Macaca mulatta: one gene and its partners. The protein of the gene in region 2 purifies or fractionates together with the protein of the main gene of each other region. This does not show direct contact. Links are inferred from orthologs where the notes say so. Each region holds a gene or a part of one and is shown on either strand. Other genes may lie near its edges.

Region 1 (4,859 bases), on a different chromosome or scaffold from region 2:
GCCTCCAGAGTGGCTGGGACTACAGACACATGCCACCATATCAACTATTTTTATTTACTGACTTATTTTTACAGACAGAGTCTCACTATGTTGCCTAGACTGGTCTTGAACTCCTGCACTCAAGCAATCCTCCCACCTCAGCCTCCCAGAGTACTGAGATTATAGGCATGAATCACTATGCCCAGCCCATTTCTTTTGCATTTAATTTTGCATTTTTCTAAGAGATGGGGTCTTGATAACGTTGTCCAGGCTGGAGTGTAGTAGCTATTCTTATAGGCACCATCATGGTACACTGCAGCCTCCAATACTTGACCTCAAGCAATCCTCCAGCCTCAGCCTCCCAAGTAGCTGGGATTATAGGCGTGCACCACCACACCAACTTCATCTTGCCAATTCTGAATATAAAACTTTTAATTTTTTGTTTCAGTCAATGTCTGCTATCAAGAGTGACCAAAACAAAAAATTAAAAGCTTAATATTCAGGAGACAAGTGCTAGGTGCACTTTAGTCCCAGCTACTTGTGTGCTGAGGCTAGAAGATGGCTTAAGGTCAGGAAGTTCTAGGCTGCAGTGCATTATGATTGCACCTGTGAACAGCCACTGCACTCCAGCCTGGACAACGCAGTAAGACCCTATCTCTTAAAAAAAAAAAAAAAACAAGCCGGGCGCGGTGGCTCACGCCTGCAATCCCAGCACTTTGGGAGGCCGAGGCGGGTGGATCACAAGGTCAGGAGATCGAGACCATGGTGAAACCCCGTCTCTACTAAAAATAGAAAAAATTAGCCGGGTGCGGTGGCGGGCGCCTGTAGTCCCAGCTACTCAGGAGGCTGAGGCAGGAGAATGGCGTGAACCCGGGAGGCGGAGCTTGCAGTGAGCCGAGATCGCGCCACTGCACTCCAGCCTGGGCGACAGAGCGAGACTCCGTCTCAAAAAAAAAAAAAAAAAAAAAACTTTCAAACGATGTTTTTTAAAGGTTTATAGCATTTATACTCATGCTGCAGTGCCCTGGAGGGCCCAAACTATATTAAAGCTTAAAACTGCTTTACTTTTTTTCATCATCACTGAACCACCATGTTGGTTGGCATTATGAAAAAATCTTTTTTTTTTTTTTTGGAGACGGAGTCTCGCTCTGTAGCCCAGGCTGGAGTGCAGTGGCCGGATCTCAGCTCACTGCAAGCTCCGCCTCCCGGGTTCACGCCATTCTCCGGCCTCAGCCTCCCGAGTAGCTGGGACTACAGGCGCTGCCACCTCGCCCGGCTATTTTTTGTATTTCTTAGTAGAGACGGGGTTTCACTGTGTTAGCCAGGATGGTCTCGATCTCCTGACCTCGTGATCCGCCCATCTCGGCCTCCCAAAGTGCTGGGATTACAGGCTTGAGCCACCGCACCCGGCCGAAAAAATCTTTTAAGACCTTTATTTAACAAGAGAAAAATTATCAGAAAATGAGAAGCACCATTTAGTTCACAAGAAATGCAACATGGACCCCAATAGAAGTAGATATCAATAACTGATACTTCCTGTTTATGATCCCAAACATGCTAAAATGCTAAAGTAATGCTTGCAAAAAATATGAATGACGAATGTTATCCAGCAGCTTTTTGGTTTAAAATGATTGCCAATGACTAGCAGCTTCAATGGTAACAGAAGGGAGAAAGAACCCTTCAATACCTAACAATGCTGCAGTCTGCTCCTAAGTGGCTTTAGTGAAGAGTCCCATGTTTTAATGGTAATACTGCATTGATTTGAAAGGCATATGCAGCAAAATGGGGGGGAGGAAGAAAAACGGGAAGAAACATAAAAGTTATATGGTTAGTGTCTTTAAAAATTTAAACTATTGTTTAAAAAACCTTACATAGTTCACAGCTGTCGGGCCCACACAGTAAGTAAATATCTGTGTGTGGGATGGGAGCCTTCACTTTGGAGTGGTTTTTGTAACTCTGTTTACATTAAAAAGATCAGAAGTGTGTTCTGTTGCATTGACAAGGTCCCATTCTTTCCTATGGAGTATAATCCTTGTTGTCCATGAGTCTCTTGAATTTGAGATCTTTCCTTTTGATGAAAATACTAATTTTGCTGGTTTTTGAGCAGGAAAGGTGATATTTCTCCAGTCTTTGTAGAAGGTCGCGTGACGTTATATCCCCTCATTTCTCCCTTTAAGAGAGGATGGCTTTGGAGCGCTGAATACCAATGAAGTTATCAGCGCTGAAAGACCTTCTCATAGCGGCTCTACACAAGTCTTTGTCTTCACACAATCTAGAAATAGCCTAGGAAAGTCAATCAAATAGAAAACAGGTACAATTTTAAAAAGGGTTCCCACATTTGAAAAAGCACACTGATGAAAGCCACACATGTAGACTCCTTTACATAATTCACAGTTACAGCTACTTTGGCTGAGTTTTACACTGCCAGGTTCTGGGGACACTACTTCCTGCCAATTCACCAATGTAATATCCTTTAAGGGCTACGATTAGATTCCCAGAGAATAAAGGGGAATTTATTATATTATTAAGAAGTTGGATTCCCAATGATGTCAAAGGTATTGTGATAGGCTCCTAACAGCAATAGCATCTGTTACCTGTGCACTTATCCCTTAAATATAACAAACGTACACTTGTGCAAAAAAATAAGTTTATTCAGCTATTCAAATTCTACCCAATCCTTATTAGCTATTATATACTCAAAGCACATTTTAATGAGGCAGGCATGTGCTGGACTATATTGGAATATATGAGAGGTCTAATGACTGATGCACCAAAAGGTGTTACTTCACATGCACGTTAATTATGGTAGAAATACGTATTATTTCTTTTTTCTTTTTTTTTTTTGAGACGGAGTTTCGCTCCTGCTGCCCAGGCTGGAGTGCAATTGCGTGAAACCTCCCAGGTTCAAGCGATTCTCCTGCCTCAGCCTCCCAAGTAGCTGGGATTACAGGCATGTGCCACCATACCTGGCTAATTTTTTATTTTTAGTAGAGACGGGGTTTCACCATGTTGGCCAGGAGGTGATCCACCTGCCTCGGCCTCCCAAAGTGCTGGGATTACAGGCGTGAGCCACTGAGCCCAGTCTAGAAATACATATTATTCTAAAGTACCACCATGGTGCCACAGAAAGTGTCAGTTTAAAGTATGTGTCCACTTCAGTTGTAATTCTGCTGTATACTCACCAAGAGTCATAAGCCATAAATATTACTTTGCCCCATAAAGTTACCATTTCCATTAAAAAACCCATGTACTTCCTACATTATTTGTTTTTCTTTTTTTTGTTTTTGTTTTTGTTTTTTTTTGAGACAGGGCCTCGCTCTATCGCCCAGGCTAGAGTGCAGTGGCATGATCTCGGCTCACTGCAGCCTCCGCCTCCCAGGTTCAAGCAATTTTCATGCCTCAGCCTCCTGAGTAACTTGGCGCCGCCACCACACCCGGCTAATTTTTGTATTTTTAGTACAGGCTAGTCTCGAACTCCTGATCTCAAGTGATCCACCTGCCTCAGCCTCCCAAAGTGCTGGAATTACAGGTTTGAGCCACCATGCCCAGCACTTACATCCAGCATTTGAAACACTTGCACCCTATATTAGTGAAGGGTATAGGTCTCTTGGCTTACCCACTAATCCTTTGTCTAAAAAACTCACAGGACTGCACTGTGATATGTAAACCATGACATGAATTTACAAACAGAGTAAGACAGTCAAGAGTGGCAAATGAATTATGTATGTAGATAAAATTAGGAATATAGTCACAAAGAACATTTTTTTTTTTTTTTTTGGAGACACAATCTCACTCTGTCACCCAGGCTAGAGTGCAGTGTTGCGATCTTGGCTCACTGCAACCTCCACCTCCCAGGTTTAAGCGATGCTCATGCCTCAGCCTCCCAAGTAGCTGCGATTACAGGCATGCGCTCCCATACCCGAATAATATTTTTTTGTGTGTATATATATATATTTTTTTGAGATGGAGTTTCGCTCTTGTTGCCCAGGCTAGAGTGCAATGGCACGATCTCGGCTCACTGCAACCTCCACCTCCCCGGTTCAAGTGATTCTCCTGCCTCAGCCTCCCGAGTAGCTGGGATTACAGGCATGTGCCACTATGCCCGGCTAATTTTGTATTTCTAGTAGAGACGGGGTTTCTCCATGTTGGTCAGGCTGGTCTCGAACTCCCAACCTCAGGTGATCCACCTGCCTCGGCCTCCCAAAGTGCTAGGATTACAGGCATGAACCACAGCGCCCAGTTAAAAAAATTATTCATGTATGGTTATATGAAAGGGTAGAAGTTCAAAAGGAAGCCTCATGAACAACAGATTAAATTTGATTTAAAATATTCTGAATTATGGTCACAGAAGAGTTAATATGTATAATTTTTAAATAATGTTGATCCTTGTCTAAACCATAAAAGACACAGGAAATCTGACGCCAAAGGGCTAATAAGCTCTTCAGTGTGTTAGTTAATTTTAAAGCTTTCCATTTTCCTAATCACTACTTAATATGATTTAGTCACAGATGTTGGCTTTGGTGGCTGATGGAAAACCCCACTTAGTGACTTCACAGCCTTACCTCTAGGTTCTGTGCTCTTTCTTTGCTAAGAGGAGCAAATAGAAAATTCAGGTTGTTGTCATCTGCTAAGGAGCGAAGGTCAAAGTAGTATTTGGCATAAACACTGGCAGGAACATTAATATTAAACTGAAGAAGCTCCAGAAAATGCCTTTCCATTTCATTCCTGGAGGAGGAAGAACACAACAGAACCAGCACAGGACAATGTCAGTCAAGTGGGCTATCTTCAAAAATATCATTCTGAGTGACTAGAATAGCTCTAAACTCTGTTTTAAAATATAGGCTACCCAGTTATATTAACATACTAATGTTCACACAAGG
Region 2 (4,959 bases):
CCACAGTCATCCAGGTACTGCTTCAGGTCCTTGTCCTGAGGAAAGAAGAGGTGGTACAGGAATGAGGGTTACTTCCTACGGCTCCTGGCCTTCTCCCCACCTCCCCCCGGGACCCAGTGCCACCCAGCCTTACCAGGTACTCAAAGACAAGGGTGAGGGACTTCTCCGTGTGGATAATGTCATGTAGTGTAACGATGTTGGCATGTTTGAGGTCCTTGAGCAGGGACACTGCAGGAAGCATGGGAGTGGGACGGGAAGAGTCAGGGTCCTACCCTCAGGACAGAGGTGAGGACAAGGACTAGAAAGGGACAAGCCCAGGTTTTTTTTCTTTCTCCAGACAGTTCAAGGTAATGCCTCGGAGCCACCAGCTCTAACCCACCTCATGCAAGTTGTCTCCCCATGTTGCAGATGTGGAAAACAAGACTCAGAGGAGAGTATGGAGCAAGAACCTGGGATTGCAGCCCCAGGCTCATGTGACACTAGATTTTCACAACCTGTTTTTGGTTTCTGGGAAGGGGCCTGGCTCCAACCCTCAGTACACAGGCCTGCAGCATCATGTGAAATTGAATTTGCACACTCAATTTCAGTGCAATTCAAATTCATTCCATGTGATATTCTGACTAGAAATTGTTACAGTAAATAAATTGGTGAGCACTTCCAGGGGTGTTCTCGGAACCAAACCCTGGTTTGCAATTCATCCACCTTTTATCCAAATGGGAACAGATTCCTGGTTACCCTGATTATTACCTGGATATGTGGGTAACAGGCATTCCCATGAAAGCCAGAGTGTTTTGCGGGGGGTCCCAGAACCAGTCTTTGTTCTCATTATGGAGTGTGTGCACCAGGGGTGAGTTGGGGAAGCCTGGGGCAGATGGGATGGGGGTGTGTACCTTCCCGGATGGCGGTGCAGGGTGCCCCCTCTTCATGTTCCAGTCTGATCTCCTTGAGTGCCACAAGGTTGTCTGTGAGCTTGCTTTTGCCTTTGTAGACGGTGGCATAGGTACCCTGGAATGTGAGGAAGTGTGACAGGAGAGGTGCTATGAGATTCCAGGAGTTCCCACTGACCTTCATCCCCACCATGGGCCTCCTAGCTGCCTCTCACCTCGCCCAGCTTGTCCAGCTTAATGTAGGTCTCCAGTTTCCCAAAGCCAATCTCAGACTGTGGGACAAATGAGGCAGGTTGAAGCAAGTTCAGAAGGGTCTGGGAGAGGAGGAGAAAAAGGAGAGGACAGGAACACAAGGTGCTTACTAGGCTGACACGACGGAGGCGGCGGCTGAGGGGCTTGTCAAAGATGGGGCTATTGAGGGTCAGCTTCTCCAGGTAGCCCTCAGGCAGCCGGATGTCAGCTGGTAGCGATAGGCGCTTGTTGATGTCCTAGCAGGTAAGGCGAGAGAGAAACAGGATCATGAGTTCCACCTCCCCAGGTCCAACCCCCTTTTCCAGCTCCTCCACCATCCAGACTGGGTCAAGCACCTCAGTGGAGATCTTGCGTGGGGGATGGTTGCGCATGCGCACTCTCACTGGAGACTGCACCTCATCCGAGGAAGTGGCTGAAGCCTGGTCACTCTCCCCATCAGACCCCATCTTCAAGTCCTCGTGCACAATCTCTGGTGGCAGGGAGAGGGGTAGGGCAGGCCAGGTGGGGTCAGAAACCACAGGACACCCCCTCCCCCATGAGACATATTCCATCATCACACATGTGTGCACATGGCCCCCAGAGGAAACCTGGAGTCCCTCGGGGAGAGGGTGATAGGGCCCAGGGAAGCTCAGGTCCATCTAGGACAGGTTGAACTGGGGGGTGGGGAGGCAAAAGTCACCTGGTGGAACCTTTCCTTCCAAGGGAAAGCTGAGCTCAGAGCTGGTAGCTAGGTGGTGGCAGGGGAAGCCAAGGGTCCTGGGAAGGCAGGCCCAGGGCAGGCAGGTACCAGAGGCCTGAGGAGGCCATCACAGAGGGCAGAAGGGCAGAGGGAGCCTTGGGGCAACTGTGACAGGCGAGGCACCCTGTGCCCCCCTACAACGGGGCCTGGGCAGAAAGGCAAGGAGAGGAGCGCAGATGGACAGATAGACCGAGGGTGTTGAGAGAAGATGGGAAGGAAGGCGGAGAAGAGAGCACATGGGGGGCAGAGAAAGGGCAGAAAATTGAGAGGAAAATGAGGAATGTGGCCACGAGGCAACACCTGGGAAGCAGCCTGGGGTCATATGGGAGAGGGGGTAGCCAGTGGACCCACCTGGTGCAGAGCTGAGTGGGCCCCGTGCAGAACGAAGTTCCCCAGGAGCAGCACGTGTGGGGGCCTCTCCAGGGTCACTGCCGCCACCACCACCACTCTCATCCAGGCCTATCTGCTCAGGGGCACCATTGGTCTTGTCTATGCCTCGGCCACCTCGGAGTGTCATTGACAGCTGCCGTTTGATCTTCTTCATCCGATCCATGGCGATCTGAGCAAGGGACAAGGATGGAAATGGGTCTCATATTAGCATTTGCTTGATCACCATGGGTCCCCTAAAGCCCACAGTCTAGCAGGGGGCACTGACATGGACTTGTCAGTGCTCACTCAACCAATATGGACCCCAGAGCCACTCAGGATTTCTGGAAACCCAACATGGACGGGGATCTTTGTAAGTACCTGCCCACCCACAGAGCCAACTCCACTGGGACCCTGCTCCTAAGTAGCCCACCTGAGTTCTCAGATTTAGGTGGCTGATTGAGGGCAAGGGCCCAAACGATGGATTGTTGGCCTCTAGGGGAAAAGCCCCACTGCAGGAGCAGAAGGCTCCATAGCAGATCTTCTCAGGTACAGCTGCAGTGATGGGCCCAGCCATGGGTCGGCCAGGGCGTGTGCCCAGAATTGAAGGATGGGTGACATGGCCTCGAGCACGCCCATAGAGTGGCATAGTTCTCCTGGCACCACCCTCAAAGGCCAAGGCAGATTATTCCCTGTGGCCACAGGGATCCTCCTCCTGACTTCTCTAGCACTCATCGTCATGACAACCACTGCATCATCCCATTCATCTACCCAGGTGGGTGGGGGGGGGAGTGTGTGTCAGGGTGTCCTGCCCAGACCCACCCACTGGGTGGGATTGTGTGGAGGGGGGGATCTCAGTGTATACCAGCTGTTCTCAGGGCTGCCAGAAAGGTTTGATCAGGTTAGGACCCCTAGGGTCCAATCTAGGCTTTTACAAGCCAGGTCACATTTCTCCTCTACTCAAGAATGTACTACGTTTCCCATCACCCCAAATACACACCCCAGTCCTCAATGTGGCCCACAGGTCTTTCTTTACCTCATTTGGCCCTATTACCTCTCTGCCCACCACCCCCCCCAACCGCCCTGCCACCATTCTTACTTGCTGTTCTGCAACCACACCCAGCAGAATCCCACCTCGGGGCCTTCACACTGGCTGTTCTTGGTACCTTGGAACACCCTTCCCCTAAATTTCGAAATGGCTCACTCCCCTCTCCCTTCAGGCCATTGCTCAAAAGTCACCTTTTCATGAGGCCTCCATGAATAACCCTATTTAAAATCTCAACCATCCCGAGCTCCCTTACCTTGCCAGTTATCCCCCCAGCACTCATTACCTCCTCAGAAATGACACCACCTACTTATTTGTTTCTTTAGTCTTTACTGTCTATCTCCTCACCGCCACAACTAGAAGATCAGCTCCGCCAGGGTAGATTTCTGTGTTTAGGTCACGGCTATGTCCTGAGGACCTGGAATAGTGACTGACACAGAGTAGATGCTCAAAAAGTGCTTATGGCAGAAATAAGTGAATCAGGGGGCTGAGGGCCTAGGACCAACCTCTGCTGAGGTGATGAGTCCCTGCTATTCATTGAACAACCCTAAACAAGGTAGCCCAGGGATGCTGGCATCGACAGGAAGATGACCTAGATGGATTGCTGAAGGGAATGGGGCCACCAAAAGGCTTAGGCCAGCCGTCTTCTGCTTCCTCTTGGGCTCTGGGCCAGCAAGGAGGGGGAAAGACCTGGCCCAGGAACCATCTGGACTCACAGCAGGGCCTAAGATGGCCCAGGGCCCAAGGGAAGTAGAGCTAGATAGGAGGTCGAGGATGAGACTGGGGCTGGATTTGAGGAGAGAAATGGGTCATCTGCTACCTTGAAATCAGGTGCTTCCCCCAGCAGTTCCCACCCCCACCTGGCTGAACTCACTATCCCCAGGAGGGGTAGGGGCCACCCTAGCAGAAAGACCTCAGATACAGGATGAGGTCCATCCATGGAGAACCCAGGATAATGACAAAACATCCTGACGTGGGAGGCTGAATACTGGGCCTAAGGCGAGGAAGGTAAAGCATGGCCAGCTCCCAAAGACAACCTTGTGTCCCCATATGGCACAGATACCCAGTTGCTTTGCATGTTGCGACAGGGAGTAGGGGAGGGGCTGGGGGAGACTGGAAGTAGGGCTGAATGGAGGATGGGGAGGGAGCCAGGAGGAGCCATGGGTCCATGACCTCTAACTGGAAACCCCAAGGGCTGGACATGCTCTGGAGTTCAGTTTCTTGGGATTTTAGGAAGATGGGGTGTAAAATCTGTATATCACATGACACTCCCAGAAAGGGGGATGGGGGGGGCTCAGGCAAGCCCCTGTGAACAGAGATAAGTGAACATTTATACTCAAGGAAACTTTTAAATATCATTTCAGTTGATTGAGCTTTTTAGATTTCAAAAAAGTGAAGGAGGCAGCAAGAAACTGGACATAAAACCTCACCCCAAAAAGGGCACATGTCCTGCCTGACCCTTCCTGATCCCCAAAGACATACACCCATCCTCAGACTACTCTCATACTCAAGGATACTCACCACACCAACCACTAAGGACCTGGTCATCGCACTCTATGTCCTGATCCCCATTAATACACGCTAGACCCTCAAGGAGGCCTCACTACATCTTACCTGCTATTATCTCATATACCCATCAGCATTCAAAGCCCTAACACATAACATACCGC
Region 3 (4,859 bases), on a different chromosome or scaffold from region 2:
ACCCAACCCACCCTTGTTTTTTTTTCTTTTTATTTTAGATTTTTAAAAAATTTTATACAAATAGACTAACTTTGATTTAAAGTGAACATATAAAAATTGAGAAGAATATTGCTTGCAACAATGGACTTGGAAGGAGAGGAATGGATTAGGCAGGGGTACAAAGAAATGGCTCCTACTCGGTAGCTTCGGATGCACGCCCAGCACTCTGCAGAACTCTCACGGGGACACCCTCTGCTGCACAGTGTCCTTCAGCCCACGAAGTCTGACTGATTTTGTAACAACAACTTCAGGTCAGGAAAAAAACAAATGCAAGAAAATCGGAAGGCACAAGCACCCATGTGATCTAGAATGCTCTTGGGGTGAGGAATAAGGAGGGAAAGGGATACTTTTGGTTCAGCACTACAGTCAATTTCACCATTGTTGAAGAAAAACGGTATAAAATGAGGGTGTACAGAAATGGAACGAGCACAGCCCACTGGTGAGGAAGAAAGCTCAGAAGACAGCGCGCAGAAATAGTGCGGAGAGAAATGACCAGTACTATTTATTTGGAAGTCTGCGCCATGGTGGGTACAAACTACATCCCCTGCTCTGTGGGACCAAAATCAAAACAGGGCAAAAACAAACGAACAAAAATCCCCCCCATCCCAAAAAAGCAGCAGAAGGAATGCAAGAAGTCTTACAGGACACACCGGTCCAGCCCTGGGTGCAGCCAGCTCTGCATCCACCGCTGCGCTCACCAACTTCAGCTACCGCCCCCACGGGGACTCCAGAGGGCCGGGCCGCTTAATCATTTTCCCTGCCTCTCCACGACTTCCCTTTCCCTTTATTTCCTCCTGCAGGATTGGAGTCTGCTTCCTCCACAAAGGAAGTGCTGTTGCTGACAGTGGTGAGAGCCAGCTGGGACCTCCAGGGTACTGACGCTTCCTCCAAGCCTTGCTGCGTGGGCGCTCATCCAGGCAGCCTGACGGAACTATGCGTTAAAAAAGAAAAGGAAAGAAAAAACAAAAACAAACCCACCCCAAGTCTGTCTTTTCTCAAACTGAAGGAGAAACTAAGGGATGGTGTGGCCTCCGGCGGGCCTCCGCAGTTAGGAAATGATGGCCGGGGACCACCGGGGCAGAGTCAGGTTGTCTGCACTGGCTGAGCGCTTCCTCGCAGATCTTCTCAGGTCCTTGTACTTGTCCTCGCAGAGGCGAGAGATGGCCTGAGGGGCAAGAGAGACAGTGTGGGTCAGGGCGGGCCATATCTGCGCCCATTGCTCACTCGTCCTGGGCGCCGAGGGTGCTGCATGATGGACAGGCAGAGCCCCTGCCCCTCTGGAGCTCCAGCCCACAGCCCAGCTCTCTGCTGGCCGCAGGAAGATATGAAGGGAGTGTAGACTCAGCTCTTGTTTCCCAAGAGCTCACGGTCTGAGAAAAGACTCTCAGGATGTGAAATAACAGGACAGTGTCACCTTGCAATTGGCCCAACCAGGGTCAATGCTGGCTCCCCACCCTCGGGGTGTGGGACGGCCCTGCCCCCACGGGTGCTGTTTCGAATCCTTAGCATCCTCATCTGCAAGCGGGGCAAGAACAGCACCATCCTGGCAGGGCTGGCGTCAAGCACAGGCTTGCAGCTGAGCCTCACAAGGAGGAGAGCTCGGCCACCGTCGGCAAGGAGAGCTGCAGCCAGACCACCAGCTAGGGACTCCACAGAAAAGGATGGAGGACTTAAGTCACCTCTAGAGGGTTGCTGAAAGAGGGACCTAGGAGGATCACAAAAACATTAAGATGTGCAGATAATTAACACTTTGGTGATGAGGACAGGGGCCGTGCTACCCTGGGAACAACTCTCCCAGGGCTGCCACTGGGTGTGGCTAGAACCAGCTGATGACAAAAGCTGAGCCCGCTGTCCCAGGAGGGGATGGTCTGAGTCGTGGGAAGGCTTTGATTATTTGGAGAAGAGAAAGAGCAGCCTTGTCAGGACAGACTGGCCTTCTCTTCTGGCCCGGTGAAACCCTAGGGCCCGTGGCACAGCAGCCCCAGAAGCAGGTGAGCTCTCCCTTCTCCGTACTCGCAGAAACTTAACAGAGGGAACGGCAGGTACCAACTCCACCAACCTGGGCCTGTGCTCTCAGGGTGGCTGACCCAGAGCCCCATATATTCTTCAGCAGAGAACACAGACTCGCTTCCCTGCAGAGCTGTGTAGCTGCCAGGAGCTCCGGCTTGTCTCATCAGCACTGAAGTAGCCACTGGAGTCATGGCTGGTGATGAGGGGGACCAGGGACCGCAGCACAGGCTGAGAGGGGGCTCACGCTCTCAGGGAAAGCCAGATTCTACCTCACATCTGTGCTTGCGAAGGCTTCACAACATCTGCCTTGCAGGAAATCCTGCAGAGGGAGGGTTTTCCATTTTTTCCTCGAATAGATGATAACTGGGAGACTGGGTGGGCTTTCCATTCCAAAGGCCGGCACACAATCACAGGGGCATGGTTGAGTTCTGAAATGCTCACTGGATTTTTATTTCTAACCAGTGCTATGCATCCAGTCTTTTCTATGGTTTACTTCTTGGAATTAACATATTACTTTTTAAATTTTTATTTAACATTTTCCTTTCTTAAGCATGTAATCCGTAACAGCTTTCTTCTCCCAGCTCTAGACCACCGTGTGGCCAGGCCATCACAATGCCACACCAACTTGCACTGAGTGACAACATCCCACCTGGGATGGGCAGTGGCATGGGCAGCACGAAGACCTCTGGGTCTCACAAGCTGGGAACACGACTGTGCCATCCACTACTTGGAAAGGCTCTGTGGGATGAGACCAAGGCAGGACTGGGGACAAAGGTGCAGAGGGGAAAAGCTGGGGCACACCCTCTCTGGAGGAGGGGTCTCTCCCCAGGGATCCTGCTTCATTACCACCCCATCCCTTTTCCTCCTGCCAAAAGGTCAAGTGGGAAGAGCCTGGTGAGCATATGAGGTAGAGGCACATACAAATATGCTGTGATGAGACCCAAAGTTACACAGCTTAACGATGGCCCAAAACCCAGACCAAGACTGGTGGTGCTGCCCTCAGCTCTAACTGGGCTATGGAAAAAATATTTTGGAAAAAAAAATCAAAAGCAGAATCAAACCTTTTTGGATTCCCAATTGTTAATATCATCTGGCAGCTTTTTCCTATAAAAGTGCATGTTGAGAAATACCTTTTTGAGGGGCTTATATGGTGGGAAATGCTTTTTGGGGGGACTTATAATTTTTTTAAACCTATCCGCAAAGATAAGGGTTTTAAAAAATATTTTATTTCAAAATAGAATTGCGGTGGCTCATGTCTGTAATACCAGCACTTTGGGAGGTCAAGGTGGGTAGATCACAAGGTCAGGAGTTCTAGACCAGCCTGGCCAACATAATGAAATCCTGGATGTCTCTACTAAAAATACAAAAAAAATTAGCCGGGCACAGTGGCGCACATCTGTAGTCCCAGCTACTAGGGAGGCTGAGGCAGGAGAATCACTTGAACCCAGGAGGTGGAGGTTGTGATGAGCTGAGATTGCGCCACTGCACTCTAGCCTGGGCAACACAGCAAGACTCCATCTCAAAAAAAAAAAAAAACTATGTTTATTAAGTGATATTAAACTGGTTATTAAAAATATGAAGCGGTTGGCCAGGTGCAGTGGCTCACATCTGTAATCCCAGCACTTGGGGAGGCCAAGGCAGGTGGATCACCTGAGGTCGGGAGTTTGAGACCAGCCTGGCCAACATCGTGAAACCCCGTCTCTACTAAAAATAAAAAAAATCAGCTGGGTGTGGTGGTAGGTACCTGTAATCCCAGCTACTTGGGAGGCTGAAGCAGGAAAACTGCTTGAACCCGGGAGGCAGAGACTGCAGTGGGCCAAGATCGCGCCACTGTACTCCAGCCTGGGTGACAGAGTGAGACTCTGTCTCAAAGAAAAAAGAAGGACAAATTATAATGAACTGCCCAGCTATATATCCTAGTAGCTCATCTTTATTTTACATCATGTAGTGGGGAAAATGATCAGTGTGACCACATACATCCCTGGTCCTCAGATGATGCATCAGCAACACTGCACCACAAAATGCTGTTTTAAAGCATCTTACCTCAAGCTTGTGAGCCCTCTCCCTGCTCAGGGGCTCCAAGGGAAAGCTCAGGTTGTTCGCTTCTGCCAGAGAACGAAGATCAAAATAATACTTGGCATAGACACTGGAAGGAACATTGATGTTGAACTGCAGCAATTCAAGAAACTGTCGCTCTAGCTCGTTCCTGCAAAGCAAAGACAAAAATAGCCTGTGCTTAGCCACCACACCAGGCCGCATGGCCTGCCAAGGCAAGTTGCTGGAGACCTGAGTCCAGAAAACTGCATCCACCAGGGAGACCAGTGATCTAATTAAATGTCTGTCTGGACACCAGAGTTGCAGTCTCACCACCATATTGGGATTAAAAGCCAAATCCACTTGATCTGGTGCCCAGGATGAGGACTGATTAATTGGGATCATCACCAGGAAGGGTTTCAGGGTGAATCACTTCACTGAGATCTAACACACACATAGCAGGCTCTGGCTGCAGGTCTCCGTGAGGACAGGCTGCTAACACAGGGTGGATGGAGCAGCCAAGAGCTGCCATGTAGAGTCCAGTGAGGGTCCTTCGGCAGGGCCCCAGAGGAAAACACTCGGCCTCTGCAGACCTAGAGGACCTTGGTTTCCTTGGTGGCCCCTCCCTGCCTCCAGGGAGAAAAGAGGGGAGGAACTGTGTATACGCTTTCTTAGGCAAAAGGCAGGGATTATGGGGGGGGAGTGTCCAGTCTCTGCCTCAGTCTCTTAGAAAGAGAACTCACAAGCTGGGAAGAATGCAAGCAGTAGTTCCCACA

The links.
Region 1: the proteins of CDK16 (region 2) and CCNYL1 purify together in Homo sapiens (affinity purification with mass spectrometry; 4 studies listed by BioGRID and IntAct, counting the BioPlex papers as one, with this or other methods). This does not show direct contact. The link is inferred for Macaca mulatta from reciprocal best matches to the Homo sapiens genes CDK16 and CCNYL1.
Region 3: the proteins of CDK16 (region 2) and CCNY purify together in Homo sapiens (affinity purification with mass spectrometry; 3 studies listed by BioGRID and IntAct, counting the BioPlex papers as one, with this or other methods). This does not show direct contact. The link is inferred for Macaca mulatta from reciprocal best matches to the Homo sapiens genes CDK16 and CCNY.

Annotation. Positions count from the first base shown.
Region 1 is NC_133417.1:113,011,206-113,016,064, reverse strand, and holds the end of CCNYL1 (cyclin-Y-like protein 1), read right to left. Parts: intron 4,705-4,859; coding exon 4,542-4,704; intron 2,263-4,541; coding exon 2,152-2,262; 3' UTR 1,226-2,151; downstream 1-1,225. UniProt on the Homo sapiens protein: Key regulator of Wnt signaling implicated in various biological processes including male fertility, embryonic neurogenesis and cortex development. Activates the cyclin-dependent kinase CDK16, and promotes sperm maturation.
Region 2 is NC_133426.1:47,253,056-47,258,014, reverse strand, and holds the start of CDK16 (cyclin-dependent kinase 16), read right to left. Parts: upstream 2,940-4,959; 5' UTR 2,894-2,939; coding exon 2,678-2,893; intron 2,467-2,677; coding exon of another isoform or gene 2,438-2,466; coding exon 2,230-2,437; coding exon of another isoform or gene 2,203-2,229; intron 1,646-2,202; coding exon of another isoform or gene 1,609-1,645; coding exon 1,475-1,608; intron 1,376-1,474; coding exon 1,250-1,375; intron 1,160-1,249; coding exon 1,103-1,159; intron 1,006-1,102; coding exon 891-1,005; intron 229-890; coding exon 134-228; intron 36-133; coding exon 1-35. UniProt on the Homo sapiens protein: Protein kinase that plays a role in vesicle-mediated transport processes and exocytosis. Regulates GH1 release by brain neurons. Phosphorylates NSF, and thereby regulates NSF oligomerization. Required for normal spermatogenesis.
Region 3 is NC_133414.1:36,965,026-36,969,884, reverse strand, and holds part of CCNY (cyclin-Y), read right to left. Parts: intron 4,256-4,859; coding exon 4,093-4,255; intron 1,205-4,092; coding exon 1,088-1,204; 3' UTR 1-1,087. UniProt on the Homo sapiens protein: Positive regulatory subunit of the cyclin-dependent kinases CDK14/PFTK1 and CDK16.